Linked DNA regions of Styela clava. The protein of the gene in region 2 binds, or shares a complex with, the protein of the main gene of each other region. Links are inferred from orthologs where the notes say so. Each region holds a gene or a part of one and is shown on either strand. Other genes may lie near its edges.

Region 1 (10,108 bases), on a different chromosome or scaffold from region 2:
ACTCTTGCCAGTAAAACTGGGATGGAAGAGCTGGACAGTAAGAGTACGTCCCCGCAAAATGAATCAAATATATCAGTAAGCGATGAACTGAAAAATAACAAGCGTAAAAGAAAAAGCAGTGCAATCACGCAAGATGATACTTCAGCTGATTTTCCAGTTAAGAAAAAGAAACGGAAAAAAGCTATGCACAAAGAAATAACATCATCTGAAGCATCAGTTGTTGCGAACATGAAAGGTAAGTGATTAAAAATGATTGTTTATTAAGAATATATTTAAGTATTTGTGATATGAAAAAATTCTATCCTGTTGTCAGTGGCAATATAAAATATCCAGTCATTATCATTTTTTAACTAAATAATTTTCAGGAGAATAAGTTTGATAAAACTATTTTAAAATAGATTCATCTTCTGTTGAAAATGATGTGAATCATAAGAAGAAGAAATCAAAATATGGTAAATTGACTAAGTTTTTTTTCAAGTATTTGCCTAACGAACATATAGTGTTAGGCATTTTTAACGTTGGTATACAATAAAATACTTCATTATTTTAGGTCATATTTCTGGAAATGATGTTCTTGACAAACCGAAAAAAGATGGTCAGCACCAAGTATGTATCACATTAGCTTTTCTTGACCTTCTATCTTACAGATATATCTTTGCAAATATCAGAGAAAATTGTGTATCAATATTCATTAAGAAAGCTGCTGTGACAAATCAAAATAATGAAAATGACGACCAATTCTATGTTATTGGCTTGCACTTGGAAACTGCAATACCACTTATAATTATCTTATCCCCATATTATACCACCTTCTCCCTGATAAAAGATGAGAACCTTTAGTTTTCAGACCTAATAATATCAAATGTAAAAATATTGTCATGTCTCTGCAGATTGTCACAGGTGAAGAACATCTAGATACTGATAAGCTTGGACAATGGAAGACGGCCAAACTAGCATCATCTGCTCAGCAGGATAAATTTGCCAGATTACTTGGTTGTGCTAAATCCAAAGATTCAGCAGAAACCTCATTAACTCAAACAAATTGTCAAAGCTTGCTCAGTAAATTAACTGGAGTTTGGAAACCACCACAAGGAAGGAAACTTTGGGGTACATTACAAAACAATAACAAAACATTTTCGACAATGGCCCCAGATGAAAATGAATCTAAAAAACTTGCTAATAACCTTGAGACCCAATATAACCAGACACTTTCATTTAATTTACAAAAAAGAAAAGAGGGCAATGCAGCAAAAGGCTTGGGATTTGAAGAAGATCCAGCAAAAGGGAAAATAAACTACATTGACATTCATAAAATGAAGTCTATAGCATTGGACTAAACTAAGTTAATAATATAAAGGGTGTGTTTGTTCATGAAAAATGTATTTATGAGTGTAGATAAAGCGCCAATACACTGTCCTTTAGGGCAATGGCATCTATACAATATTGTGATAGCATAGTAAGTAAGGTCCATCAAAGCAGTGGCAAAAGGGATGAAATGTAATAGAATCGCGTGTTATGGATCGAAGCAGTGAAAGTGTATCGAATAGTATTCACTCTGATGTGGGCACCTAATACTATACATCTTTTTGCAAACACCCGAGGCTTGTAAGGTCCATCAAAGCAGTGGCAAAAGGGATGAAATGTAATAGAATCGCGTGTTATGGATCGAAGCAGTGAAAGTGTATCGAATAGTATTCACTCTGATGTGGGCACCTAATACTATACATCTTTTTGCAAACACCCGAGGCTTTTATACTATTGGGAAATCATCACGTAAAGACCCAACTATTAGACCAGGGTTTTTGTCTTGACTGGGTGCATTCCAATCAGGTGTTTTTACACACCCTGACAGGAATGTCATGAAACATGTTCGAGCAAGTTAAAAAAAATTTAACTATAAAGAATGGGTTAGGGTTGCACAAGCCTGTGTAAGTCAAGCAGTCGTCCAAAGGTGGTCGAGTTCCGATAGCTTATCAAGGAATAGCAAACTCTTGGATTGCTTTAATTACTTTTATTCAAAACAGAAACACATGTTCCAATTTGTCTACAAGAATCCGACATACAGAAATCAAAAATATAAAGATGAACTTTCGATTTTAACAAATAATATGACAATCACCAAAGCGAGATATCTGTATTTACCAGACTTCGTTTTTCATGAATTGAACAAAAGGTAAAAAGTGCATTGCGTAGATATTGAATTATTTAGCGTGCACCTGGCCTTGTTCTACAACTTCCATAAATTGCTTAATCATAGATAGTAGCAGCAGTTCCACGCAGAAAGTAAATTTCTTTGGCTAATTAAAGTTGACCTTGAAGCAAACTGGTGTAGTACCACTTCTCAGCTTTTTCATCAGTAACCTCTTCTGCTTCGTCAAGTGCCGGTGCAGCTTCTAGGATTTTAGTTGCGGCTTTACCATCAATTTTGAATTTGCTGTCACTGCAGCAAATGTTTTCCATTGCAAAATCACATTTCAAGGTTCCGGAATGACTTTCAACCCAGAACCTATGAGTTTCAGCAATTGTTTCTTCAGCGAATTCACGGTCTTTATAATCTCCATTAAATGCAAAACAGTTCGCTGGTTTTCCATCTGGTATCTTGTAAATTTTAAACCATTCACGAGTGGCATCCAAGTATCCAGGTTTCATCTTCTCAACATCTCCAATTGAATTTATTTTTGGAGCGTCTTCATCGTTAACGTTGATTCCTATCACTTTCCAGTCAGTTTCTCCTTCATCAATCATGGCAAGAACACCAACAACCTTTACTTGAATAACTTCACCACGCTTGCAGATTTTTGATCCAATTTCACAAACATCAATTGGGTCATTGTCACCACACTGACCTGTATTCTTGTCTTTGTGTCCTGGGTTTTCCCAAGTCTGTGGAATTGCTCCATAATTCCAAATATATCCTCTGTGTGGAAAGCAATTAGCAACATATCGGAGTTTCCCCTTTTTCACATCTTGTTTAATTGGATTTAGACTCTCTTTTGTTGCAATTTCCATCTTGCTGTTCGTCCATCTTGGAACCTCACAGACCATATTGTACACTCGTGGGCTTTCCGAAACCAGCCATGGAATGTCATGCAAAGGGGAGATGTATTGCCCCTCGCTGTTTTTATAGTATATTCTATAATCAAGCGTGTTTGGACGCCCTCTTTCTTCAGCGACATAAGACATGATTCTTGATATATTGGGTGAATTATTCGAAATTACTCGGCAAAATCCTCTATGCACGAAAGACAACATAGACCGGTGTACAGTCGTATATTATTATAAAAAGCCTGCTACGCAGATTTACCGTAACTTATGCCTTGACAAACAAAAAGTGATCACCCCGCCCTCCACTAAACAATCAAAGACAATTCCGCGATTTAGAGACGCGGCCGCAACGAAAACGTGGCCGGCGCCGCAAACGGTGTGAATGACTCAATCAAACTTGATGTACCAGTTACTCGAGCAAAGTCCGTGCAGAGCTCAAACTAAACATCTATTGTACATCAGTGTCGTCTGTCGCTCTACGCCAGTGCTCCGCAACCTTTTTTACCTTGCGGCACACTTATAAAACTTACCAAATTCGACGGCACACCACAACAAACAAAAAAAAAAGTGTAACTTTGTATGTTCATATTTCAATGAGAAATTTGTGGTTGTATATAGAGCACAATCGCTCTATATTAGGATCAATACGTGAAAGAGCAACTCGAAGTTCGCCGTCAACATCATTTATGTAGGATCGTTCATCGTTTTTGATCAGTAATAAAAAGGAAAAGCTTTGTTCGCACATATAAGTTATGCAAAAATGGAGCAATACTTCAATAGCTGCATTGGAAATGTGCGCTTATAGTCTTCTTTTTATTGAAATCCAAAACACATCGAGTGGAATTTCACTGAATTTGAGTCTTAACGTTCTGTCATTTCTTACTTCAAAGAAATTTTCTCGAATACGCAGGGGTAATTCTTTTGTTGACATTTCAGCACTAGTTGATAAAGGATTTCGGATCCAGTCGTATCGCTCATTGGTAATTGCGAAAAAGTACCAGTACTTGTCATATCTTTGCTCCATTAGATTTGAGTGCTTTTTCGCCAAATTTCACACGAAACCGTGATTTGTATTTAAGTGGCGCATCAGTTTACTCGGAGCCATTGCCTAATTTGAAAGTTGCTCCCCACAAATAACGCAGACTGAATTTGGAGCATCTCCGTTACCACAGCAAGAAAATCCATAGTTTATGTAATCTTCCCTGTATTTCCTTTTGATAAGTTTTTTTTATAACGTTGCTTGTGCTAGGTACAATATGTTGCTCAGTATCAGATGTTTTGGATGTTCTTTTTAAAAATTTATCCATTTTGCTAAACTTTAACGTTCCTTGACTTTTTTAATCAAAGACCACTATGGGCAATGATTCTGCAAACTCACATTTCAGGTTTATTTATATTCGATTACTACACGCGCTATGTTTTACCCTCGACAATGATTGCAATCTACTTGACATATAGGGGTACTCCTCGTTACGTCACAAATGTATAGTGGGGAAGTCAGGAATTTGATTTGGTGTCGCTCAAGCTAACGTAAAAGCAAGTTCATTTTAGTAGAGAAGTAGACTGACGTAAAATTAACAAAAGATAAAAATAAATTGAAAAAGAAGAGAAAAGTTGCAATTCCTGTGCGGCACACCTGGCATCGTCTCGCGGCACACCGGTTGCGGAACACTACTCTACGGTACAAAAGCATGATGGTGTTTATTCAAAACTTCTCTCTGAAATAGGCCCGAACAAGCAACTTTTGAGATATGAAAAGTATTTATTCGAAATTATATGCTATAAACTGATTTCTGTACAAGCATATACTGAATATTATCCGTGTGTTCCTTCAACACAGTGGTCGGCAACCTTTTTCAAGTGACGGACCGGTAAAGCATGACCAAACATTTGGCGGACCACCTTTATACAAACGAACTAAGCCTATGCAATACATTATACGCATTAGTGAATTTAGGTTGACAATGTACTAAAAACGACGCGATGCTATTTAATGAGATATCTTTATTTGTTTGATGGCCATTAATTGTTCACATATTCGAGATATGGTCGACATGGACGCACGTAACGTGTTTCTTACATCCAGCCTATTTCGTTTTTGTAGTTATCAATATTGAAAACGGTTATGCAATGTAACGTTTATTGCAATGTAAAATTGTAATCTGCAGATATTACAAGACGCTTGCCAATACTTATGGGTCGGCTAACTACTCCTGACATAAGTTCTACAGTTTGTCAAATTAACCTTGAGTTTGCAAAAACGAATACATCTAATGGAAATATTATACAAGAGGATTTCTGGATGGTTATTTGACATCCACTATATAAAAGTACATGCGTCCTGAAAAAGTAACTGGTTAAAAGTCTTATGGTCAGTGGCGTGTCGGGAGGGGGCAAAGGGGAAACCGACCCGAGCAGCACGTTATAGGAGTGAGTTTGTTGCTCAGTTTGATGATTTAAATCAGGGGTGGGGAATCTTTTTTACAGGCGGGCCAAATATCAATAACTGGGTAAACCCGCGGGCCGCACCTTCATTTAACATATGCTTTCTATTAGTTGCAGGCACAAAATAGTGTCTTTTTTGTTATTGATCTCATGTCGTCATCATTAGGGTCCATACAGAAATGATAGGTTGAAACGCATAAATTTCTTAAAACTGTAATTCAAATATATTGTCACACCCAATGTTGACGAATTCAGTGAGAAATTTGCTGCTGGATTCTTTTCCGGACTAGTTTTATCCAAATTTGCTTTAATGGAAGTGCGGGCAATTCGATATGACGCCCATTTTAGAATAAAATATGTAGCCGAAAAGTGCCATATTTGAAGCCATGACTTTTTTCAAATTTGCAAAGTTATCTTGGTTGAGATGTTTTCGGTAAAATACGCCAAGATTCATTTCCAAATAATTTGCTGTTAAATCTTATTCTAGTTTTAGATTTGAACAAAATCAACTGATAAACTGGAAACAAAACTCATTTTGCTTTTGTATCTCTTAATATTAAATTTTTTCAAACTGCTTTCCATTTGCCTAATCTTCAATTGCCCGTTCATACAAATTCATTAGGGTCTTCTCCGCATTTTCCTTTAAATTGTTCGCTGCATCGCGTTGTCTGCTTCGCTGTTTGGACGTTGTAACGTCATAGGCATAGATAATAAATTGGACTCGAATATAGGCTTTGCAACGCAAAGGACACCATATCAAACTAATATAAAAACTAGTTTAGCTGGCCGCACACCATTCAAAATTGGCATTACTCCGCGGGCCGCACAATTTTCCCTCGCGGGCCGCACTTTGCACACCCCTGATTTAAATGATACTATTACAAGCATTTTTCTCTCACTTGGCATTTAAATGATACTATTACAAGCATTTTTCTCTCACTTGGCCTTTAACTTATATATTTATTCTCGTGTATAACAACATCTATAATAATTATTTTTGAAGTTAGGTATAACTAGGCTTACCATACGTCCCGCTTTAGGCGCGACAGTCCCGCTTTTTAGCGTCTTGTCCCGCCGTCCCGACAAGTCAACCAAAAGTCCCGCTTTTGCGTTCTGCCATCCAGCATAATACACGAACATGTTCTCGTTACTGTTGTTGCCGTGTAGCGCAACGCTAGTCTACTTACTGAAGGTGAATGCGTTATTTTATTTGTTCCGTTATGTTAGCGAACGTATCACATGTAAAATCAATTCCAATTGGTCCTGTTCGAACGTTCACGTGAATATAACATTGAGCAACGTCTTCTTGAGAAAGTGTTATCTACAGAAAAGCATGCTTAGTGAATAAGTAAATTCCCAATGCTTGAAAACGGCAGACTATTTCATTATGCTTTATTCCTTTTGCTGTACATAGAAAAATCTAAATTCGGATCATTTGTATCGTTAGCGTCTAATCCTTTCTATTTTTCGAACTGAATCCGATATAGAATATGCGCATGAATTCTCGATGACAATATGGTCAATGAAGACAGCCGGGATGGCCTTAAAATGTAGGCCTATGTAGTAAAATCGGAAACTGTAAAGTTACAGGATCACAGCTAAGAGGTCGTGTCTTTGGAGGCGTCCCGCTTTGAAGTCCAAAAAATATGGTAACCCGAGGTATAACTTTTAAGGGGCAGCATTATCAGAATCTCGCCCCGAGTAGCGCGAAAGTTTGACACACCACTGCTTATGTTCGACATGGACTGGTAACCAGATGGGGAAACGTAGGCCTTTATCAGATAAAGTCTTCTCATTACCCTTTCTTTCGACCTGATATGAAAATCCGTTCTAAGCTGTCGACTAAAAACATGGTGGAATGTTTTCTGAGATATGAGAGGTGGATTTGTCATGGTTGTGAAACTTGTTGCCACATCAGAAAAGTGTTCATTAAACTTCTATCAATTTGTGCTACTACATTGCAGTTCAACTGACAGACATAAACTAGTCTAAATTCTGCAAATTGTATTTTACCCTGCCCTAATTTGATTTTTTGAAAAGCAAGTGCAGACGTGTATTAATTTTCTTCTTACTGAGTAGTCCAGCGTACAGTTTCAATAGTCTGTATGTGATGAACAAATTTTTCATTTTCGCCTTTTTTATCAATGACAGTTTATATTATGTTCGTATACGTTATTGGGTTTGCGTAACTCGATAACATTCTAAGGCCTACCTAACCATTTTATACATAGAATAAGCATCAGAATTTTTTTTTTAGATCATGTGCTGGAATCCGGGATTGGCTGAAGTTGTCAATGTCAATAGAGTATTATACTTGAAGCTTTCAAGTTTCAGATGCCTATTAGGTAGTGGATAGCTTCATTTCTTATTTGGAAAGTCAAGAGTGCCAACCTCCGACTGTAGCGCATGTTTTTGCTTAGGTTCCAAAATGATCTAAATACCTCAATCTCGCAGGATTTCGACCTGGGCATGACCTAACGGGATATTCATCTACTTGTTAAGGGATACTCAACCTAAACTTGAAAGTCGATATTATATTGTGGATCATACCGATTAGAATGACAGGCAACTAACTGTACAGTTTGCAGATTCGACTTGAAAATGAGAACACGGTATATTGAATTTCACTTAGATCAAATGAATACTTTACTGTATATATATATTCTGATTAAAACAAATTCAATAAAATAAAAATAAAATCATGATGCCATTCTAAGTTGTTTTATTCGCTATAGTATGTTGTGCTAATTGCTCTTCATCTTCAAACAAGTGGTTAGTTGCGTCGTCTAAAATGTGAAATGAAGCATAAATCTAATGTAGGGGAAAGTGGGGAAGGTTGGGACACTTTTTTTCGTTTGCATATTTGGAGCCCTTTATTCTGCACATTCATATACCTTTGCGGGATTGATGCAGAGAGGGGTAAATGTAGTTTTTATTCAGCGACTAAGAAATTCCCTTGCGACACACATCTTACCACCAAAATGCTTTGAAAAACGTTTGTCAAGTGTCCCACTGTACCCGACTTGTGGGGCACATTCGGACAGACCCTGGGGCACAATGGGTCATTCTGTCAAAATTCAACAAAGTATGCCCTAAAAATAAGCAATTAATCAGCATAATCGTCTAAAGAACAGGAAGACCTCAAATTTGAAGATTTAAGATTTTTAAAATCAATGTTCAACCAGAATATTTCAGAAATTTCACCAAAAAATTCGCATACAACTTAAATTATTTTCTAATCCGAATCTAAATCTGGAAATATTTTTGATTCTCGAATATATTTCATATTGGACCATGAGTCGAAAGATACCATAATGTTACATAGAAATATAACGCATCTCTAGGTCTCTAAGCACTTGTTGTATCAAACACTGTCGAATTGTGCCATGTAGGGTATGTCCCACTGAACCCCGGTCCATTGTTCCCCATAATAAACAAATATCTTCAGATCATCCCACGGAGAAATTCGGAAGGCACATCCACTCGCCAACGTTATAAATATTTCACAGTGGACTATAGCTGAAAGATATCAGACGGTGGTTTGTCACGTTGAAAAGGCTAAGTTAGAAAAAAGAAAAAACTGGAACGGTTAAATTTCAGTTTCGACCTCCCAAAACCAATTTTACCTCATAGCTTGCGTCGCTCTACCCGTCCGCTGTCCGTTTGCGGGGACGTTGTAACTCATCGAAGGGCGGATTGAAACATCAAACCGCGGACCGTATTCCGAATATAGTATTAGTGTGTGAGAGCTGATTTTCCATTGTGCCTCATGTCCCAACGTGCCCCACCTTCCCTTATGACATTGATTCCCCACACTCTTGCAGTAAATGTGCCCAATATATCGAATTTTCAATATTTACAATTGATAGCTAATGATTTGAAATAAAAAGCAAAAAACACAATTTATATTTATTAGTGTGTAATAGTCATGGGTGTAAAATCCATGTTAGTAATTGTTCTCTTGGCTGTACTTGTATTTAATGAAACAGATGCTTGGTTCAGGCGGATGAAAAAATGGGGGATGAAGTTGACAGGTAGAAGGCAACATAATCCAGTAAAAGAGAGACATGGAAATGAAGAAGGCCACTACCAACCACAGCAACAGAGGTAATTTATGAAAGAATAATTGAATAAGGTGTGCTAGTTTAACATTGCGTGTAATATAAAACATGTCCAGATGAAAATTGCATCACGAAACTTTGATCTATATGTCTGTCGAACCCCACAAAATATTGCATAGCCCACCGAACTGCTATCGTCGATACAGCGCATGTCTGTTTTCAGTGTGCGACCTTAAAACGCTCAGTGATTCCAAACATATTATATCAGATTTATATTTTACATTAAATTGAAATTAGCGCTTATTCGCGTTCAACTTTTTTGTACCTATTTGATATATATTATTTAGAAAGTTTTTCATTTATGCTATAGTTACTACAGTGGCCGACCAAGAAGAAGAAGTAGCTGGGTAACGGTAAAAAAAAATACGATGGGACAACAGTAAAATTGCTGAACAGGTCAGTCAGTGATACATGTGTAAACTAGCCTGAATTCAAATTTATTATTGAAATTATCATTTAGATCATAACTTTTAATATATTTTTATGGAAACATGCAA
Region 2 (11,514 bases):
GCAGTTCAAAAATCTGTGATTGAAATATCTGAGAAAGTGAAAAACGACAAGGACGGCCACTTTGTCGATCTTATCGATAATTTTTCTGAAATTGGCACATTAAAAAATGAGGAATACGCTCCGATATTATGGAAGATAATAAACCGCGAATTATCTTCGAAAAAAAGGTCAAAAGCAATCTACTACTTGATCAATATTTTGGAAACTTAAAATACAGAACTAATCGAAACCGCAGTTTCGATCGATAAGCCTTCAGTCTCCGACCGATATTCTCGTTATTATCTTGGTAACTCTGCTACGGTTCCCAATTTGCTGATTTGTATAGGGTTATCCGGTAAAGTATCGGAAACCAATCATTTTGTTTTTTATTCAATATTCCTGCAATTCAACAAGATCTGCATAATCACGATATATAATGTAAATTAAGAGAATATATCGAATGTTTGTAATCCCACTAATGACTAATAGAAGCTTCTAATTACCTTGCATAACAATGCTCCCGCTGTCTTTAATACTGTGTGTACATATGTTATTTTGGCAAATATATTGTGGTAGGTTCATTAATGACAACCTTTAATAAAATATGTATTCAATAGTATTTATATTTCTTGAACGGGTCTTTTCTTCAATAGTATTTATATTTTTTGAGTCCAATTACTTGTGCACTGAACCCCATTCGAAATTTTACGCATTTCAATTTTTTACTTTCGCTGTTTGTCAAAATTAGAAAGAGTAGATAACTAAGTTGTGGATGAATGACCCAGCAAATAATGCTGGAGGATAAATATAAAAAGTTGTTCTGGCTGCAAACCACGCCAGACGTCCACATAGCATGTGCAATAAATCCGGGAAATTCACTCAACACATCTAGCAATTATTGATCAAAAATAGGCATCATTATTGCCCAGTGCTAGCGAAACAAAATGAAGATCAGCGTTCAAAATATAACAAACGGAAAGTAACTTGCCAGACAGCAACACACAAAATATGGCAGAGTCAGGCCGAGATAGGAACCCGTCACAATCACCAAGACCATTCGACGGGACAATTGGAACAATGTACAAGTACCATAGCGCTTCGCCTCCACAAAGTCAAGAAGAGAGTGGGCAGGGCTGTCGAGCCACCGCTGGTGGTAGTCAGATATTCTTGATGACGTCGATCCGAGTGATCGTACAATTTATCTTCGATCAGGGCTAGTAAAAGGCAGAGAATCGATAGTGCGATAATGGCTCCGAATAACGGTTCAGCATTTTTAAACGTTAACGAAAACAATGGCCAACTTGCATAGTTATAAATAACGACTGCTTGTGGATCTGTAGCTTTTACATTTGTTTATAAAATATTGTATTCCGTCGTATTATAACAAATATCTAAATTTACAGGAAATTTGGATTTGGTTTATTTAACCATATCGACGTAATATATATATCTTTATTTGAATATACCAAAAATAATCAAGTTCATAAGTCCAAATTGACAATGGATTTTAATTTGCCCAAAAAGGGTTATTTATAACTGGGAAGTCGTTATTCCGAAGAATGGATTCGCACAGTCGTCGTTCCAATTTATTGCATTTTATCGCCATGATCGTCAGTAAAACAACATTTAAAGTATTTCGCGGCGGTGGAGAGTTAAAAATTCATAAAACTGCAGACCTTCATATATTGCACAACAATGTTATTCATTGGCGTTGAGTTTCTCCGTGTCTAATAGAGCTACAAGTGTGAAGTCATCGTCAAAATAAACAGCAGGGCTTATAATTTTTTCCTTGTCAAAAATAATTTCACGCGTTTTTTTTTCACATTATATTGCTCTACATCGAGACTGAATTTTGGTTGGTGGAGAAAAGGCTGGCATGAGTAGCCTAACAATCCTGCAGATATAATCCAGACCACTGAGATTCAAAACTATTTAACTTAACAGTAAATGCTTTATGTGTTTAGAAACATGTATTTGAGAACAAAATACAGTTGTTATTTGGCAAAAATCTAACATTACAGACACAATCACTGGATAAGCATGTTATTGTCTACACAGAAATTGGCTGAAATAAGCAGGCATCAAATGTTAAATGCGGAAACATTGTTTTGCATGGGTTGTTTCATTACTTTAGTTTGATAAGCAGCATTGGGCTATCACGAGTGATGAGTATTGCTCTGAATACATACAGCAAGCAAGCAAATCATTCTGTTGAAAATTGGCTTCCTTGCCTATTGGAGTGCCATTGTTGATTTGGTTGAAGAAGCATGGAAGGCTATTATCACTATATTTGCCTTTGATGCATTACGAGTTCTGGAGCCATCTGCAAAGTACACATTCGGCTGAATCAACCCGCTGTCTGCTCTAAATCGGAGCATCCAGGTTCTTGTTCTTCATCGTTGTATATGTTTTCAGCCATCTGCCACACCTGCATGATGTTATCCTCTGACACAGAACATATTACCCATGGTTCTTTTGAGTTCCAGGAAAAATCGGAGATCTTGGCTGTGTGGCCACCATGAATGAACTGACAAAACATACGGTAATTTCTAATTAATTTTTTGAAAAAATTCAGCAAATAACAACATGAAATTAAAAATAAAAATGCATTCCAAGCATTTTCTGTGACATTACTGCTATACTTCAGTGACCAATTACTTATGTGATTGAAAGTAGATACAAAACTATATTATATTTCTCTGAGCAGTAACAGACGGCTGACAATCGCCTGGCATAAATAATTAGTAAAAATGAGCAATTTGCATGACACACAGAAATCAATTGGCAAAAGTCATAGCTTATACTTTAAATGAAATTTTTACCTGAAATATTTGTATATGGATGGAAATGATAATAATAAACAGGCAAATTAATTTGGGCATATTATTTTGGCCTCATTAAACTGTAGGTAAACAAAGCCCACCTTTTATTTACATACAGGGTGATCCAAAAAATAACAGAGCTCATAAATTTCTTAATTACTATGAAAATGAAGAAAACTTATTTAACACTTCAACTTCTGTTTGTGTATAATTGTACCCAAAAGTTTCAGTGATCTGGGATGCTTTGGGCAAAAGTATGTTCCAAAAGATCTGGGTTCTGTTTTTTGGAACACTGTCACACTGGAAACATCTCATAATTTTGTTCTACCTATCATATATACTTTTAGTATATTTAACAATATTTGGATATTTTTAAATAAGAAATATTGAGCAAATATATTACTACAGCTCAAAATATTGTACAATGCATTCCAAAATTCAATTCCACTTTGCACAGGAGCAGATACTACATATCTAGCTATGGCACTTTTATTGTATAATTTATTCTTGGTTAAACTGATGTGATCAACTACTGAACAAAAAAAATTAACAGAGTGATAAAAAAGTACATACCAGTAGTTCTGGAGGACCATCCTCCGCGTCTTCTGCGGACTGTTCTTCGCCAATCTTACTTAGATCCCAGACATTGAGTCTGCGATCAGTTCCACTTGATGCCAGGATAGTTTCATTATGTGGTGACCATTGAACTTGGAATATTTCATCCTTGTGTGATTCAAATGAATGAAGCTTGAGCTTAAGATTTCTCAAATCCCACAATGCAACAGTTTTATCAGCTGAACCAGTGGCAAGAATAAATTCACTGAAGGGGTTGAATGATAAACAATTCACTTCGGCAGTGTGAGCCTCAACGATATGACTTGGTTTATTGGTACTTTGTGCCCTTGTATCCCAAATAAGTAATTTCTGATCATCTGCTACCGATCCGAATAGACTTTCATGAAGGAGGTGCCAAGACACATCTTCTACTACAGCAGTGTGACCAGTAAATACTGATTTAGCATCGAGCTCACGATTTTCTTTTAATTTGTGACCCACGTCCCACAGACATATAGTGTGATCATCTGAAGCACTCAACAAGTGACCAGTTACATTTGGATTCCAAGATAAGCCATAGCCCTCTTTCTGATGACCTTTTAAACGAATATCAGGTTTGCAAACTCCACATGGATCTGGTTTAGGTGGATGTTTGGTGATATCGAAGACTAGGACATCGCTACTTGGTGTCTTTGTGCCGATGATACACGGCCTCTGAGGCATGTAACGAGCTCTATTGACCTCTCCTTCGTGGTTAATTTTTGTTTCTATCTCAATTTTCCCACTAACTGAACCAAAACCACCAAATTCCCCTCTTTCACTATCATAATGAGATGCATCAAATGTAGCATCATCTGTGGGAAGCTGAACGCTCGCAATGATCATGTGATTTTGTTCATCTGAGGTATGTGTCCCCAAAATGAGCTTATGAACAGCATAGTCTTTCCCATCTGCTTTTGCTACATCAGGAAGCCATTGAACTGTGAGACTTGGCCATTCTAATGCATGTGTCATTACCAGATCATACAAAAATGGTGTGTTCTTTTTCCATATCTTATATTCTTCATTGATAACTCTTTCTTCCACTGCCTCATCAAATGTTTCTTTTTCAGCCATAACAGCCTTCGATTTTGAGTTAAAATGTCTAATTTGATCAATGCTCTATAGTAAACCAGAAACTATTGTAATGTATAACCTTTTGTGCATACATAATAGGATTTTTATTCTGGCGTGAGTAAATTCAAGAGCTAGAATTTTGTCCTTATCAATAATTTGAAAAAATAAGCAATTCTACTAATTTTATTCCGAATAAGTGAATATTATCTCCTTACAAGATCAATTCAATTCATCAAAGAATACAGCTTTGGGAGGGTGGAGGGCAACTTGTCACAGCGCTAACTCGCCATTGGCAACTCGCCTGCTCCATATTTGATTATGATAAGACAGTGCAAGAAGAACTATAATATGCGGTATAGAGATGTAAAGGACCACACTATGATTATTTAACACTAATATTGCATCAGCATTTGAAACTTTGAAAATTACTGATATTTCAGCGAGTCGAGTAAAACATCAAAATTATATAGACTATTCAAAATGACTTTGAGTGAATAACAACAACTGACAAAGCTGAAAGTATCTCAAATTATGTTTTTAAAGTAGTTAAATTGTAACGAAGCTCACGATATCCAAGGAATTCAAAGAATGGCAGTGTCACATCATTATCATTTGAGAATGTTTGATAAGAGATTTGTAGCATCATCCAATTTCAGGTATCCAAATAGATCATATTAAGCAATAACAAAACGAGAATATCGGTCAGAGACCAAAGACTTATCGATTGAAAGTTAGGGGATCCCCAAAACAGCGCTCTTGCTCCATAGTGACACCTTGTGTCCAATCACTAATTAATTAATAATTCGCTAATTATACGACATAATTCGCCCAAAATCAATAGGCTTCTGGTCCGAAATATGATGAATGCACATGCAAAATCTGCAGCAGATCCAATCTCACTTTCGTGAGATATCGCGTGAATCTAACAGACAGACAAATATCTATCAACATACTTACCGATTAAAATCGATAAGTAATAAATTAGGAATTTAGTCTTGCTATTAGCAACAAATACTAAAATAAAGTATGCGTACATTCGTTATATATAGTCTAGATACCTAAAACACTTACGTAAACTGCGAAAATATGTAACTTGTAAATAAAATATTCCACCCCTTTTATCTGTGCTTCTATAAGAAAAATTCAAAATTGGGGTTATATATATTATATTGATTATAGAATATTCAACTTTCAACACCAAACTGACAGTGCTATTTCAGTACTGCAATATGTAAGTAGTCTATAGACTAGATGATACAGTAATATGACATGATAAAGGATATGTGGATCAACGGATGTACTTAATGCAAAGAAACCCGAAATCTGATAAATCACTACCGGTATCTGAAAAAATCCCCCTACAGCCCTAACAGTGGCAGCGCAGCTTTGGTTTAGAGATGTTACTTGATTTTATCTATTTACCGTTAGTCTATATCAGGGTGGGCAAACTGCGGCTCAAAGAAGATTTTTGTGTGGCATGCAAAAGCCTTGAACAAATAGCCTACTTGAAAACAAATAAAAGTCATGAAAAAAATTACTACAATTCTGTAAAATTCGATTCATAACAAGCATAGCCTATCCGCATAAGTAATACCTCTGGCTCTGGGAATGTCAAAAAAATATACCGGTAACTTAGATGGTTAATTTATCAGTTTGTAGGGTTTGATGACAATATCAGCGGTGCACTGCAGTTCTCAGATGTCTCAACATCTGGTTAAATACAACGAACATTCTATTCGTCTCTGATTAAGCCTAAGCCGTCTTACTGACTTTCCTCTTCCCCGGCAGCCCGGGATAAATACGTACCGTACATCCTAAATCCTATCAGGACAGATGCTTAAGGCAAGGCAAAAATGAAATAAAAACAGCGCGAAGCAGGAATGGAGGATGTTTCCTCAACCCTTGACCCCAGAGAAATTATCTTAGTACTTTATTTTGGAGGTGGTTTGTAAAAAGGTGACAACTCGGCCCTAATTTGCGGTGGTTCAGAATCACCGCACCTTTATAGCACGCGAAGCGTAGGTTGAAAAACAACTGGGACATGAATAATGAAAAGCAGCACCCCTAGTCCCCACCCATTAAGATTGCTCTATCCCAACTTCTATCTTTTTGGCATATATTCGTGAATTAAGGTCCTGTTCGCCAAAGTTAATATAAAACATTCAGCCCTATCAGACAAAAATAAAGAAATCTTGATCTGTCAAAAATGCGTGTTTGTTTGTGAAAGAAATAATATATGCTGGTACGTCGAAGGGCCTACTGTTTCACTTTTCAATTGATTACCCTGAATAAATTTGCCCAAGACGGGCTTATGTAATTAAATATTATGATTTTTGAGCGTTCTTGTAGTGGGACACAAAGTTGTTAGCTGCAGTTAGGAATTTTGCCATGTTTGCAGTACAAGTTTAGTATGATAATTTATAATACATAGAAATGAAACATATGAGTAATAAAAATGTTGAGGAGTAATAAAATGGTGATGAGGTTCCTCTGTAATTATCTATCTACAGTATATCCATACCTACGTCTATATCTATACCTACAAAAAAAAATAGATTTACTGAAACTCATGGAGCCATACATGACCGTGTTGTCTGTATGGTAAACACTCAGTTCAGTGATTCAGAAATTGAAAGGGAGAAGGAAGTTGAAGACATAGTCCAGAAATCAGGGCATGATTCGTGTGTGTTATATTCGTCAGAACAAGTATCGCTGGCTTCAGACAGAAATACAGATGATGAATATATTAGATGCTCAGAATGATGCCACCAATAACTAGCACATATATAGCGTCAGAGTCTAGGGAAGTATTTTCCACACAGTCAGCATCTAAGACAAATATGACCTTGAGTTCAGAAGCAGATAGATAGATGTAGAACATCAAGAAACAAGTCGTCATCAAACATCTATGACTGACATTCAAATGCGATGGAGAGCAAGATCTACACTACAAGTTGCGTGTAACTTCAAAAGGCCACCTTTACCTCCTCAGCCAGAAAAGACATCGACGTGTTTACAATATTTTCAGCAGTTTTTTGATAATAATAATTTAATTGATCACATTGCAGAACTGACCAATTTGTATTCGGTACAGAAAGTAGAATTTTCCGATGCTACAAACCACAACGAATTCGAACAATATTTGGGAGTAGTTGGACATCCATGATGGGCATTCTGGAATTACCGCGTTATCGAATGTATTGGGCACAAGAGACTAGAAAACAACCAATGGAAAATGTAAGTCCAAGAAAATGTAATTCTATTCCTCAAGAAGAAAAGCATGCACTAGATCAGGGGTTCCCAAACCTTTTCAGCTTGCGGCACACTAACAACAACATTAAAAAGTCGCGGCACACTTATTACAAATCAGTTTTATTAAATCCCGTATTCGTAAATATTATGTGTATCGGCATTAAATATGATTAAAACAAGATTTTGTGGGTCAATTGTAACGAGTCTTTATCGTTTTTAGTCTTTTATTTCTGTCAGCGCATGAAATTAATATTTGCAAAATCATGAAAATGCGAATGGGAAAAATATTTTGTTGTACTATATGTCTATATATATATATATTGCAAGGGTGGCCAACACGCCGATCGCGATAGACCGGTCGATCGCGTTTGATGTTGAGTAAATTTGCCAAAATTCCAAGCGAGCAAAGAATCGGACTTGAAGAATATTGTAAATTAGATAGAGAAGTTTGAGCAGTCATGGAACATTTATGGTTTGAGATTGTTCATTATTCGCTGTTTAGATAGTACATGGACACTTTCATTCAAGGTTTTTGGAGAAATTGAAAACACTTACAACTGAAAATTAGACAGGCCCTAGATCTGAAGTGTATGATTTCAATAAATCTGAAATAAATGATAAAAATTCTACTCCGGGTACAATTACATAATCAAAAAATTAACAAATTGAATGGAATATGAAAAATGCCTACTTTTGTGGCAATTTCATTGAGAATGCGCCCGCGGAGCCGAGCTTATTGGCAGTAGTGGAATTTTTGTATGCGTGTGTGCGGTTATCTGCGTATTCGTATTCATTACTTGTCGATTTTAATCGGTAAGTATGTTGATAGGTATTTGTCTGTCTGTATGTCTGTTAGATGCACGCGATATCTCACGGAAGCGAGATTGAATCTGGTCCAGATTTTGCATGTGCATTCATTTTATCTCGGACCAGAAGCCCATTGATTTTGGACAAATTATGCCGTATAATTAGCAAGTCATTAATTAATTAGTAATGGGACACAAGGTGTCACTATGGAGTAAGAGCGCTGTTTTGGGATCCCCTAACTTTCGATCGATAAGTCTTCGGTCTCTGACCGATATTCTCGTTCATTTTTGTTTATGACATTACAACCGATCAGTCGATCGCGAGCTATTTTGAAAATTTCAGTCAATCGCGGTCGGAAGCAGGTTGTGTCGGCAGTCCGTGTGGTCCTAAAGTTTAGTTTAGTTAGGATCCCTTCAGTTGTACATCGTCATCGTGATGATTATCGCTAACTCGTCGTCGTCATCATTACTGTGTTGTTTTCTCGTATTCGACGTGTCGCATTTTTCTCTTTCACGTGTTATCGTTTTACGTATTTATTTTATTATCGTCCCCTAAGCTCAGCAAGATGTTTAAGATTGCATTTCTGGTGGTAGCAGTTTAGGATTTCATTTCTTGTTATGGCAGTTTAAGATTACATCGCCTTTATAGCGTTGAAGTTTGAATTCATTCAGTAGTCTCCTTTTATACTGTATTTCGAATCGTTCGATATAACATTATGATATTTGCATGTCTACAGCTCGTATTGTATTGCATTTATAGTTACTGTTTTACCTTGGTTGTATATCTGTCGTTTTGGGACTATGCTATTATATGGAGTTGTTTTGTGTAAGTATTAGTTTTATATTCTGTATCATTTGTCTTTGATTTATTTGGTGCTAATTATTTCATTTGTATTTTAGTCAACCGTTTTGAATACTTTCAATAAAACGAGTCTGGCAAATCGACTTATCATTTCCGGGTCCCAAAAGTGACAAAGTTGAACAAATCTCCCTGCGACGACGATGAACGAAGCAGATGAATCAATTACACAAGATTTGAATAGACGAGAAGCTTCTTCTTCGCCTGCAGTTCCTCTCGCGGAAACAGACGACGGTAACTCTGAAACTATTGGACGCAATGTATTATGCCACGAAAGACTACAAAATGAACTAAATGGTTTGTGCGACAGATTTTCAAAATCGATTACTGAAAATGCTCAAAATCCTATCGTTACTGATCTTAAAATTAAACTTCATGTTAAACGAATTGCTTATGACCAAGTGATGGATAAACTCATTCCGACTACCCGTAATCCAAATGTTTTGAAGAAATATGAAACTGGAATGCAAATGATGTTATCGAAAATCGATCAAATTGAAAGCAGAAATTTTATTCTTACCTTGACGAGGAGATCGTTTCTGATCATTGGTCTGCCGAATCCAATACAAGCAAATGCAGTGTTGAATCACTGAAGCGATTGCAACTTGAGCAAGAACGAGAGGTAGAAAGAGCCGATTCTCTTGTACGTATGGCTAAACGAGACTTTCTCACAGAAGAAGATACCATTCGCAATAAAATATCAGCACTAGAGCGTCGCCTTGATCACAAACGTCGAGACATAAACGAAAAAGAACGAATGGCAGATCTAACACGTCGCCAAGCTGACGAACTTATGCGTGAAATTGAACAAGAAAAGACTGAATTGGCTACCAAAAAGATGCCTAAAGATAACTTACGTGGCGTCAATATTGAATATCCGTTAGAGTCAACACGCAGACGAAGTGCAGCGAACTTTTTTGTTCCGACGAAGAGTCAAGTGACAACAAATTCAGAAAAGACCAAAGAATTGCACTTCCCGACAGCACGAACTTACAAACGCCCGTCTCCTGCAAACAGAATGCTTATACCACAAGAAGCAGTCGACGCGTGGATTGACCACTTGGAACCTAACCAGTCTGGTAAATTTTCTGTTAATTCTTTTAATATGTCAGTAGAGGAACAAACTATGTTATCATTACAGTTGAATTCTAGAATATTGTCCCAGTACCATTTATCACCGATTACGATTCCTAGTTTTAGCGGAACGACCCTAGAATGGCCAAACTTTATTGAGTTATTTTTTGATAATGTACACAGTTCTCTTGACGACGACGGTTCGCGTATGGTTCGCTTAGTCGCGTCTTTGACGGGGGTGGCTAAACGACATGTCGATGGCTTAGGGACGGTGGGAAGTAATTTATTGTCGCGTTGAGTGAATTGAAACATATATTCGGCCAACGGGTGACGATTGCTCGGGTCTTTATCGAGAAGGTTGTAGATGGTAGACGAGTAACAGAATTCAGTATCCGGAAAATATCTGATTTTCATTCTGAAGTTCGCGACATTGTGATAAATTTGAAGAAAATGCGATTGCTTGCAGATTTGTATAGTATTGAAAATGTTAGAAAGACAGCAATGCGAATTCCGACCGAACTGACCTCGAGTTGGAATAAGTTTGTGACTGATATGATTCGTGCCGACGAAATGCCGAGTTTACTGGACTTCGAGCAGTGGTTGTGGGAACGATGCGAGGAATTAGGAAATCCTTTTTCACCAAATCTTTTCAGAACTAAAATAGATCGTGACGATCGCAGACAGTCATTTCCTAAGAAGAATGTGGTATACCCTTTATCGGGTCATTCAAATCAGCCGCTCGACCAACCGCGAATGCAATGTTTCTATTGCAATGGTTTTCATTCTTTGAGTAACTGCGATAGCTTCGGGTTTAGTGCCAATGACACGAAAAGAAGATTTCTACTAGATTCACGCCTGTGTTTTAACTGTCTCGAACCTGGACATTTAGCTATTTCGTGCCGGTTCCGCAATATGTGTCGTGTTTGTCCTAGTAAGCATCATTCAGCCATCTATGGTTTGAGAATCGTTCCTAATAGATTGAGTGATAACAATCAGCCTGATCTTCCTCCTCATATGAGCGGCGTTGCCAATTCTCATATTTCAGGCGTTA

What was found.
Region 1: histone-binding protein RBBP4 (region 2) and inorganic pyrophosphatase-like share a complex: the UniProt entries of both Drosophila melanogaster proteins name them as parts of the NURF complex. The link is inferred for Styela clava from reciprocal best matches to the Drosophila melanogaster genes Caf1-55 and Nurf-38.

What each region holds. Positions count from the first base shown.
Region 1 is NC_135256.1:11,802,041-11,812,148, reverse strand, and holds inorganic pyrophosphatase-like, read right to left. Parts: upstream 3,447-10,108; 5' UTR 3,253-3,446; coding exon 2,302-3,252; 3' UTR 1,997-2,301; downstream 1-1,996. Other genes in the region: uncharacterized protein LOC120327500, read left to right, coding at 1-235, 399-452, 551-606, 891-1,337. UniProt on the Drosophila melanogaster protein: Component of NURF (nucleosome remodeling factor), a complex which catalyzes ATP-dependent nucleosome sliding and facilitates transcription of chromatin.
Region 2 is NC_135252.1:3,757,502-3,769,015, forward strand, and holds histone-binding protein RBBP4, read right to left. Parts: upstream 4,588-11,514; 5' UTR 4,473-4,587; coding exon 3,375-4,472; intron 2,507-3,374; coding exon 2,327-2,506; 3' UTR 1,931-2,326; downstream 1-1,930. Other genes in the region: uncharacterized protein LOC144420818, read left to right, coding at 10,039-10,468. UniProt on the Drosophila melanogaster protein: Core histone-binding subunit that may target chromatin assembly factors, chromatin remodeling factors and histone deacetylases to their histone substrates in a manner that is regulated by nucleosomal DNA.